Schizosaccharomyces pombe: one gene and its partners. The gene in region 1 interacts genetically with each later gene. Each region holds a gene or a part of one and is shown in the gene's direction. Other genes may lie near its edges.

Region 1 (3,759 bases):
TGTCTCTTTGGGACGTTAATTTCGTAGATTGTGATGCATGTCCGTATGAACTGCTCTGAATATTATTATTAAAATTGGATGGTTTCATTCGCGAAGCCATTCTTGCAGTATCATCAGCTCTTTTAGAATTTTTTCCGAGGGTTCTGGGTCCATTTACTATAGAAGACCGTGGTGAAGCAAATTGAGAACATTCATGGAATTTCGATTGTTGTGGATATTCATATTTGTTAGTTTCAGAAGATAATGTTTTTTTTTTGTTCATGGGATAATTCGTTCCTCCTGGGGTTTCATCTAGCTGATTAATAGTTTCTTCGTAAGCTAAAGTTTTTGTCTTGCTTAATTTGTTGAGTGGATGTCGGTTTTCGACTGTAGGGATGGTTTCATATTCTTTGCTGGAATTGGGATTAGCAAGCTTTTCTAGTACAATGCGACGGTTTTGAGATATAACTGGGTTGTCTAATTTTCCACTCTGTATGTTGTCATGAAGCGATGCATCTTGTAAACCATCCAAAGTACTCAAATTTTTATTCAGAAAGATTTCTTTTAGATCTGCAAAATGATGCAATCCTTTTTTCTGTGCCAAGTGTTCATCTTTAAAGGACTTCTCTTCTATTCCAACAGCCGATTTTTCTTCATTTTGATCGGGCTTGTTAGGCCTTTTCACACTATTTATTAATTCTGTAAGTATTTTGCTATTGTGTGAATATTGGCGTTGCGATAACAGAAATACGGGCTCTTTAAAAGTAGAATGAGCTCTTAGAGGACTGCATGTCTGTTCAGTCAGATTATTAGGAGAAAGGAAATTAGACACTGGGGCTGAGGAACTTTTACTCTCCTGTTTAGGCAGCGTTTCGCTTGTACTTATTAACCCCACCATTTATAATTGTTGTCGAAGTTGATTAACGTAAAGAAAGTAGAAAAATCAAATAATTAAAGGCACTAGCTGCTTAAACCAGGGTGGGGAAAAATGAAATGTTGTGAAACGAAAAATAATTTTAAAAGAAGGAATTAAACCCGGATTTGGAGAACAAATACTTACAAGTAAATCAACTTGTTAAACGCAGCATTCGAAGTCCCCTCTTTGAAGCCTCTTCAGTTCATGAAGAGTTTGCCGCTAAGCACCACATAAACTCCAAGAAGTTCAGACAATTAAGAGGCCTGAAATTCTTAAAATTATTTCAATTTGGATAGTTTCACACGGGCAGTTGTTGTATAGGTGGAAGTAACACACTCCTTGAAAAGTTCAAAATGGGTAACGGTACACTTGGTATGCTAACTTCCAGAGCGAGTAGATACAACTCTCATGTTAATAAATTTGTATAGAGTCCGATATTAAGTTAAAAATATCTGTTTATTACTTTTCGACAACTGTTAGTCAAAAAATTAATAGTCTTCAATATGATTGTTTACATGGTCTCAGCAACCGTTTATATAATTTTGTTTAATTCCAATAGTGAGCACCGATTTGTGTCACAATACTACAGTGCTCTACCTTATTTAGTAATCTATAGTACGACCAGCTGTTTCAAGAACGTAAATGATCATCTCGAAACTGACAAAATTTATCTACCCTGAATAGATATAATATCTTACAAGTAAATGAGTCTTGCTATTGTTAGTTTTTCCCATTAACGGCGTTTTTTGTTTACGTTTTAGGGAGCTTCCTAGCAGCACATTTTAACTCATTAAACCTCACTAAATGACTAACCTTTCTTTCTAAAAATGTGTTACAATTATTTACACTTTGCAAATTGACGGCTTAATAACATATCAAGTTGTCTTTCCATGTCTTTAGGGCTACAACCTAATAATGATATTTCATCTTTAGTTAGTTCAAAAAATATGACTTCTGAAAATGGACTAGAGCATCAATTTGAAGAATTATTAGTCGAAAAACAATATTCTGAAGAACACTGTGCCTATTGCCACATAAAGAATCCAAATTCTATATTGAAATGTTTGCATTGTAATAAATGGTTTTGTAATGTAAGAGGGAAATCTGGAGCTTCGCATATCATTAGTCACCTAGTTCGTGCTCGACATAAGCAGGTTGCTTTACATAGCCATTCTTCTCTTTCAGACACAGTACTTGAGTGTTATAATTGTGGAACGAGAAATGTGTTTCTATTAGGATTTATACCAGCAAAAGCTAAGACAGTGGTTGTTTTATTATGCCGACAACCTTGTGCTAGAGCTAGCATAGCTAAGGATATGAACTGGGACTTGACTCAATGGCAACCCATTATTTCAGATCGTCAGTTTCTTCCATGGTTGATAACTCCTCCATCCGAAGAGGAACAAAAGCTTGCAATCCCAATCACTTCACAGCAAATGGTTAGGCTTGAAGAACTTTGGCGTAAAGACCCTAATGCTAACCTCGAAGACTTGGATAAGCCCATTGAGGATGATTCATTACCTTCAGTAGAACTTCGATATAAAGATGCTCACGCGTATCAAGCAGTTCTTTCTCCGCTCATTCAAGCGGAGGCTGACTATGATAAACGACTCAAAGAATCGCAGACTCAAAAAGATGTTGTGGTTCGGTGGGATCAAGCTATCAATAAACGATATACTGCTTGGTTTCTCCTTCCCAAACTTGAATCTGGTGAAATTCGGTTGGCCATAGGAGATGAAATGAAGCTTACATATGAAGGAGAACTAAGAGCACCCTGGAGCTCCACAGGATATGTTATTAAAATTCCTAACAACGTTTCAGATGAGGTAGGTTTAGAACTGAAGCGTTCAGATAAAGTACCTATCGAATGTACTCATAATTTTTCCGTCGATTATGTTTGGAAATCTACTTCATTTGATCGAATGCAGACTGCTTTGAGGTTATTTGCTACAGACGGATCACGTCTTTCAAGCTTTTTGTATCATAAATTGCTAGGACACGATATCCCTCCTTCCTTCCTGAAACCAAAATTACCGTCTGATTTATCGGTGCCTAATCTGCCAAAATTGAATGCTAGTCAGAGCGAAGCTGTTCGTGCAGTATTAAGTAAGCCACTCTCGTTAATTCAAGGGCCGCCAGGTACTGGAAAAACTGTCACCTCAGCATCTGTAGTCTATCACCTGGCCACGATGCAATCACGCAAGCGTAAATCCCATTCTCCCGTATTAGTTTGTGCACCTTCGAATGTTGCTGTTGACCAACTTGCTGAAAAAATACATCGTACAGGACTTCGTGTCGTTCGAGTTGCCGCAAAGTCTAGAGAAGACATAGAATCATCGGTTTCCTTTTTATCTCTTCATGAGCAAATTAAAAACTATAAGTTTAATCCAGAGTTACAACGTTTATTGAAGCTACGAAGTGAAAATAACGAATTATCTATTCAGGATGAAAAAAAACTGCGTATTTTGGTTGCTGCTGCCGAAAAAGAACTATTACGTGCGGCTCATGTCATTTGTTGTACTTGTGTTGGTGCTGGTGATAGAAGGATTTCCAAGTACAAATTTCGTTCAGTACTTATTGACGAAGCTACACAGGCTTCAGAACCTGAATGCATGATTCCTTTAGTTTTAGGCGCCAAACAAGTAGTACTTGTTGGTGATCACCAACAACTGGGACCGGTTGTTATGAATAAAAAGGTTGCATTAGCTAGCCTTTCCCAATCACTTTTTGAGCGACTGATTATATTAGGAAACTCTCCTTTCAGATTAGTTGTGCAATATCGTATGCATCCCTGTCTTTCAGAATTTCCATCGAACACTTTTTATGAAGGTACTCTTCAAAATGGTGTCACTACTTCTGAGCGT
Region 2 (3,234 bases), on another chromosome or scaffold:
TCTGCGGTGATAACATAAACGACACAGCCCCATCCACTAATACAATCACGATCTTGGGCGTTAAGTAAAGCTTGGGAGATAGTCTCAAAGAGATCGTCAGGCTCTAAATTGGGCTCGTATACAGACTCACACATACCATAAAGTTGTTCTGTAGCGGTTCCAGAAACGATGAAATCCTCTGCAAAATCGATGCATCCAATGGAATCGAATCCACAGATAAACGGGGTATTGTCATTAGATACACCAGCAACTACTGGGAATGAGAAATAGGGACCAAATCTTTTTTCGTAAAGGGTGGAAGAAACCAAATTAGCAAATGTCTTGGGTTGAATTTGACGCTCTTCGCGGAATTTGTAAAGGTTCACTTTGTACCGAAATAACTCATAAAGCGTCTGAACATCCGTAGCAAGACCCGTCAGTCCCAAATACGTTTTGTCACCCATCGCAAACACCTTAGGAAAGTTGTTGGTCAAAGAAATTGACTGAACACCCAACCGCAAGTCCGATGCAATAGCCACGCAGTTTTTACCTGCCATGGCTACGCATGAACCACCATTATATTCCATAATACTCATTTTGTAGGATTCACTGTTTGTATGAGGAAAGGTTCTTGCTGACAAAAGAAGCACACGAATAACCACAGATGATATGTTATCGCGAGCGCACAATAACCAAATACCGTATTGGATAGGATGCGATAGTTTGATTTACCGTATGTTTAGCGATGCAAGGAGTATATCGTATTACTAGAGCCCTTCCTTTAAAAAATCACTATTGACTTTTTACGATATCCATAATAAAGAGGTATAAGAAGTGAAAATGATAGATCGTAAAGTTCACAATAAAAAGGTGTTCAGAGGTATCACTTAGACTATTGAATAATATTTAATGAGAGAAGAATAAGTCTCCCTGAAATAGCTTCCTCTAACGAGAATGTTGGAATGGCACTAGTGCTGCTACGCTTTGGCTGTGCCATACTGCCACGTCGTAGTCTGTGCATTACCGAGCGATCACATTTTAAAGGAATATCAAGCGAACTTCAATCTAACTACTTTGGCACCACCAGCGTAGCAAATATCTTCAACAACCATTTCATCAGTCTCTGCGATCTAGCAACAGCAAGATAGCTTGAGAAGGAATAACGGCGCACATGCTCGACATACCCTTGTAAAAACTCAATAAACCGATCATTTCATTTTATCAGTGTACATTAAACTGCGTTAGCTGCGCTTTAGAAGAAAGTAGTCTAAGAGAATTAAAAGTAAATAATGCCATATAGCTAACTCGATGAAGGATTGTTAGGACTGTAATCATACAACCATACAAATGCAAGAAATATCGCTATAGCGGGAAAGACAAAAATTGGGTTAAAAAAGGTATTTTTAACCGTTCTTTTGTTGTTTATTCAAAGTCATCTTTATCAAGGACTCTAAATCCAAAAGATATAAATAAACATCCGGAAGTGAAAAATTTGACTTGAGCTTCCTTTCAATCCTATTTGCCAAAGAAATTCCCATACTTTGTCTTCTTTCTATCCAACACTCCGATAAGATATCGCACATAACATCGCTAATTAGCATAACACAAATTAACCTATCGGTATCTATATAACGTGGTATAACCCGTCCCTATGCGATATACCACGTTTATTAAGTTCGTTATTCAGCACACCGAATTTTGCACCACTGCGATATTTGAGAGGCTCATATTGCTGAAATCGTGTGGTATACGTATTCCTCCAACTACCATGTTCAAAGACTACTATGCCATTCTCAACATCACCCCCAAAGCCAGTGCTGAGGAGATAAAATATGCGTATAAAAAGGCTGCTCTGGAGACGCACCCTGATAGAGTATCGCCCAGTGCTCGTGCTCGAGCCACTGAACAATTTCAGCTGGTGAACGAAGCATACTACGTCTTAAGTGACAATTCTCGACGAGCTCAGTACGATCGTGAAAGTGCCTCTTCCTCTGCTAAACCAAGACAATCGTTTTTTTCCCGCACAAACCCTCAACCCCAAAGTCAGAGTCAACAAGGAGGGCCAAGTTTTGGATTTCGCCAATCCTTTTCCGATTCGCAATTCGAGCAGGTGTTCAACGAAATGATGAATGAGACATCGACCAGAGGCATTGCCAATGCCTTTTGGACCATCGTAGGTACGTTAGCTGGTGCGGCGTTGGGATTTATCACGTTTGATGTGCCTGGTGTTCTTGTAGGCTCGGCTGCCGGTGCTAAACTTGGGCGAATTCGTGACACCCATGGAAAAAGCGCTTACAGCGTCTTTCAAGACATGCCTGCAGTAGAAAAAGCTCGCATATTAACCCAATTCCTCTCCCATCTCCTTAATTCTTCCAAGCAGTTCACCTCCTCCTAAACGCGTCTTTTTGTTTACGTGTCGCAAAATTTATTAAATCAGTTACGCGTCGCGCTTTCCAGCACTGTCCACATTTGGTCCAATCAGTCGCAGCCCGTCCCTTTCTCCCATGCATTTTCGGCTCGTCCATCAGAGCGAGTTCGTTGATGTCATGTGATGTCATGTTTTGCAATGATGATGTAACTACTTTTCTTAGTTTCTCATAATGAAAATCGCTCCTTCTTTTTACCTAACTCAGTCTTAATTTCTTGAAATATTGAAGTTTGACGAGTTTTCAAGCTTCTGTCGTTTTTCATATTATTTTAGGGACGAACAACTTTCATTGTTGCTCGACAAGATCCATCTGTCGCCTTGGCTGGTGTCTCGTAGAAAATTTACCTTTCCCGGGTTTATTGGGCTGAAACGCCGACGGATTTGATCTGTTTTCCAAAAATCTTTTTTTGTTTATTTGTTTTACTCTAAAAATAATAGAGGATTGAAAGATACATAGGCATCACAGTACTCTAATATTATTTTGAAATGAGTACTCTTGGGAACTCTACTGTTAAACCCACGAACGCGGAATTTCCCGGCCTCCATGCTATGGAGCGCTACAAACCCGCCACGTCGGAAAGCCTCTATGTGAAGGGACATTACGGTCCCCATCCTCATAAAGAACATCCTGCCGCTTATGTTGCTGCAAAAACTGGTTTTAACGCCACTTCGAGAAGACAATCGGTGCGTGAGCATCACTCCTCTCATGAGGGTTCTGCTCAACTTAACCCCGATCGTATTTTGTATATGTCTGCTGGTGCGGTTACCGCCGCTGTCCCTAATAAGGAGCACACTGATAACGTTACAACTTCTCAAACGATCCGCTA
Region 3 (3,754 bases), 680 kb from region 1:
GAAATTTATTGTACACAAATCGACACATAAGAGGGCCGGAATAAGCGATATAAAGAGCAATAATTGCTAAATTAAACACAGAAGAAATGGCAGTGACATTAACCAAAATTAGTAGACCGACTAAAAGGCTATAGAGTAGCACTAAAAGAATTGCATTTAAGGGAACTTTCTGTTTAGTCAAAAGACGTAAGTATCTACTTCCTGGAATCCCGCCGTCTCTGCAGAAAGCAAATACTTCTCTAGATGCAGCAATCAGTAACGAAATGCAGTTCAAACAAAGGGCAATGACCAGCAAAGAGAAAATTCCTAAAGCTCCCTTATTTCCAACATTGTTAACCAGTACTTGAGCTACAGGCTGGCCTAAAGAGGAACCTAGAATGGCATTAAAATCGTGACCCATAGTAGCTACAACGGTGATAACGATGCACCATCCAAGAATGGTAGCCACACCAAGACTGGAAATCATAGCAAAGGGAGCTGCTTTGGCAGCATTCGTTGATTCTTCAGCAACAGCGGCGCTAGATTCGAATCCGCTTACAACCCACACAGGAGTAGTGAATGAAAGTATAAATGCCCATCCCATGTTTGACCATCCAGAATAATTTGTAAAATCACCGAATATAAAACTTCCAGAATTTCTAGTAGTAGAGTCAGATCCTGCGGCAAGGGCAATAATAAGAATAATGGATACAAGGAATTGGAAGGTAATATTAATGATGTTCACCTTCGCGATAACACGAGAGGGAATTGCAGTCATGGCAGAAATCACGAAAAGCAACGCTGCGTAAATTCCGTACTGTTCATATTTTGTAGGTGAATAAGAAGGACTACCTATCACAGCTAGTGCCTGTACCATAGATGATGCAGAGTACACTGTTGAAGCATAAATCGTAGCGTAGCCAAGCACTGACACGTAACCACAAACCCAGCAGAGAAATGCTCTTGACGATGGTGATGCTAGGGTAAAAATCCAAAAATAAAGACCTCCAGAAGTAGGCATAGAAGACGCCAGTTCGCCCAATGATATACTTACTGGAATCAGACATATACATCCAATAATCCATGACCAAACCATGCCTCCTCCTCCACAGTTCATCGAGAAAATGAGTGAACCCGCCATAGCCGGACAAAGACCCATTGATCCAAACGATTGACCAAAAATGCTAACGTAAGAGAATTCTCTAGTGAATTCTGGTTTGTAACCAAGGCTCATCAGAAGCTCATCATCTTGATTAGCTTCTCTGCTTTCGCCCAACTCAACTTCATTTTCCCATTGCTTCTGATTTTGTTTTAAGCTTTCTTTGTCGATGTCACTCATTGTAAATGCTGAATGTGAGTCGTCCTTACAAGCAGAAAACTCTCAAAGCAAATTGGTCTTAGCAAAATTAGCAGCTCGTAAATATTTTATACCAAATATTTTGAATAAGACTAAAGATCTATATGTCAACTCCTCCAAGCCGAAATAGCCACACAAAGCTTGTTTGTCAAAAATTTTATGATCACCGAAAGGGTATATGCTTGCAGAGGCTTTTGTGACTAAATATGTCTTTATTCAAAAGCAAAAATGAATTTAACCATTTTATAAGACTTTAAAAGTTAATCATAAAAGCCCGAATTTCCTCGCCTTCCGTAATTTATTTTCCTTGGAGCGTACAATCATGCCTTTATTTCCAAGGAAATTCTGATAGGCAATAATATCTTAGATCTAACTTAAAGATCCATCCTAATCTCTCGTTATACTAGTTTGTTCCGGTGGATGCTCAACTCAAATGACGAAATCAATCGTTTTTACAGGAATGCTTATTTATATTAACGAAATGTGAATCCCCACGGCAGATTCAAAAATTTCCTTGGAGATATTTGAAGAAGTTTGTATATCTGAAATGTAGTATAAATACCTTATTCATTTCACCTGAAAATGCAATAAACTTCAACAGTACAAACAATTATTCAAATGGCTCTTCAAAGCCTTTTTTTGATTCTTCTCGCGGGTGCTGCTCAATTGGCTCAAGCGCACCCAAAGATCTTTGAGCAATCTCGTGCAAATGCAGTTGAAACCTTTGACGATGCTTTTCCAGGAGATGGTGAAACACAAGCTGATTCCGTTTTTTCGGGAATCGCAACTTTTGGTCGTCTTCCTTATTGGAAATGTCTAAACGACAAAAGTCAATCTTTCGACATTGCCTTCCTTGGAGCACCATTCGACACTGGTACTAGTTACCGTCCTGGTGCTAGATTTGGTCCAAGCGGTATCCGTGAAGGATCTCGTCGTCTCAATCTTTATGGTGGTTACAACGTTCCAATGGAGACCAACCCTTTCAACAATTGGGCTAAAATTGTGGACTGTGGTGATATTCCTTTGACGAGTTATGACAATGCAGTTGCTATTAAACAAATCGAGAATGGCCATTTCGAATTATTAACTCGCAAGCCTACATCTTATTCTGAGAAAGATGGTTATGCATTAGATGGAAGCGTTTTGCCTAGAGTTATCACCCTCGGTGGTGACCACACAATTGTCCTTCCAATTCTTCGATCGGTCTCTCGTGCATATGGACCTGTCTCTATCATTCATTTCGATAGTCATTTGGACAGCTGGAAGCCCAAGGTTTTTGGAGGCGGCAAATCAAGTGTTGGTAGCATTAACCATGGTACTTATTTCTACCATGCTAGTCAAGAAGGATTAGTTTCTAACGATTCAAACATTCATGCTGGTATTCGTACAACTCTCTCCGGTCTCTCTGACTACGATAATGATGCTGATTGTGGTTTTGAGATTATTGAAGCTCGTGAAATTGACACAATTGGAATTGATGCTATTATAAAGAGGATCCGTGACAGAGTTGGAGATGGTATAGCTTACTTGTCTATTGACATCGACGTTCTTGATCCCGCTTATGCTCCCGCCACCGGTACCCCTGAGAGTGCAGGTTGGACCACCAGAGAATTACGTACCATTCTCCGCGGCTTGGATGGGATCAAACTCGTCGGTGCAGACATTGTAGAGGTTGCACCTGCTTATGATTTTGCTGAAGTTACTACATTAGCTGCTGCTGATATCTTGTTTGAAGTTATGTCTATCATGGTAAAGACTCCTGTGTACAAAGAACAGGCTAAACAACAAAGTCGTTTCTATTAGGTGTGTTATAGAGTAGTAAAGTTTTTGGAAACTCAACTTAAAAGTTATCAAAAATAATATTAATTTCGAAAATTTCTCAACATATGATTAAATTTGCTATAGTGTCGAAGCTTAGAACAGTAAGTGGACAGTGTAGAATTTTGTTTTATTTTTTAGTATACTGTAAAAAAAAACTTCGTGAAGTATAAACCTAGAGAAATAACAAAATTTGCATATTTAATTGTTGGGAATTGCGTTACCATTATATTTAGCATATATGAATAAATGAGTTGGTGCACAAATTTTATAATCAAATCGTAATCCTTGGCAAAAAATGTTCGTACCATCAAATACACTGTTATCATTTTTAAATTACCAATGTCGATTTTAAAGCAGCGTTTTCTATGTTCGATTGCTTCTTATCTTACTACCGTAACATACATATAAATTAATATAAATTAGAAATTTAACCATTAAATATAATCAGTGCTTCAGTAAAATATAAAAATTCCATAATATAAATCCAATTTACAAAAATTTGTTTATTGTATATATTTTTTGACAATTATTAGAAATTAGGGTCCAAGGAAGATGAAAAATATTCCATAGTGATACCAGTATAAATAAATACTTTAA

Evidence for each region.
Region 2: of upf1 (region 1) and SPOM_SPCC63.13, a mutation in one rescues a mutant of the other (synthetic rescue), as found in Schizosaccharomyces pombe (one study listed by BioGRID).
Region 3: of upf1 (region 1) and SPOM_SPAC11D3.09, a mutation in one rescues a mutant of the other (synthetic rescue), as found in Schizosaccharomyces pombe (one study listed by BioGRID).

Annotation. Positions count from the first base shown.
Region 1 is NC_003424.3:802,114-805,872, reverse strand, and holds the start of upf1 (ATP-dependent RNA helicase Upf1), read left to right. Parts: upstream 1-1,739; 5' UTR 1,740-1,785; coding exon 1,786-3,759. Other genes in the region: DYRK family protein kinase Pom2, read right to left, coding at 1-877. UniProt on the Schizosaccharomyces pombe protein: RNA-dependent helicase required for nonsense-mediated decay (NMD) of aberrant mRNAs containing premature stop codons and modulates the expression level of normal mRNAs. Also capable of unwinding double-stranded DNA and translocating on single-stranded DNA.
Region 2 is NC_003421.2:859,819-863,052, forward strand, and holds SPOM_SPCC63.13 (DNAJ (Hsp40) chaperone family protein), read left to right. Parts: upstream 1-1,740; 5' UTR 1,741-1,747; coding exon 1,748-2,374; 3' UTR 2,375-2,641; downstream 2,642-3,234. Other genes in the region: proteasome core particle subunit beta 3 Pup3, read right to left, coding at 1-575; eisosome assembly protein Eis1, read left to right, coding at 2,894-3,234.
Region 3 is NC_003424.3:120,891-124,644, forward strand, and holds SPOM_SPAC11D3.09 (agmatinase), read left to right. Parts: upstream 1-1,922; 5' UTR 1,923-1,954; coding exon 1,955-3,139; 3' UTR 3,140-3,226; downstream 3,227-3,754. Other genes in the region: SPOM_SPAC11D3.08C (amino-acid permease), read right to left, coding at 1-1,318.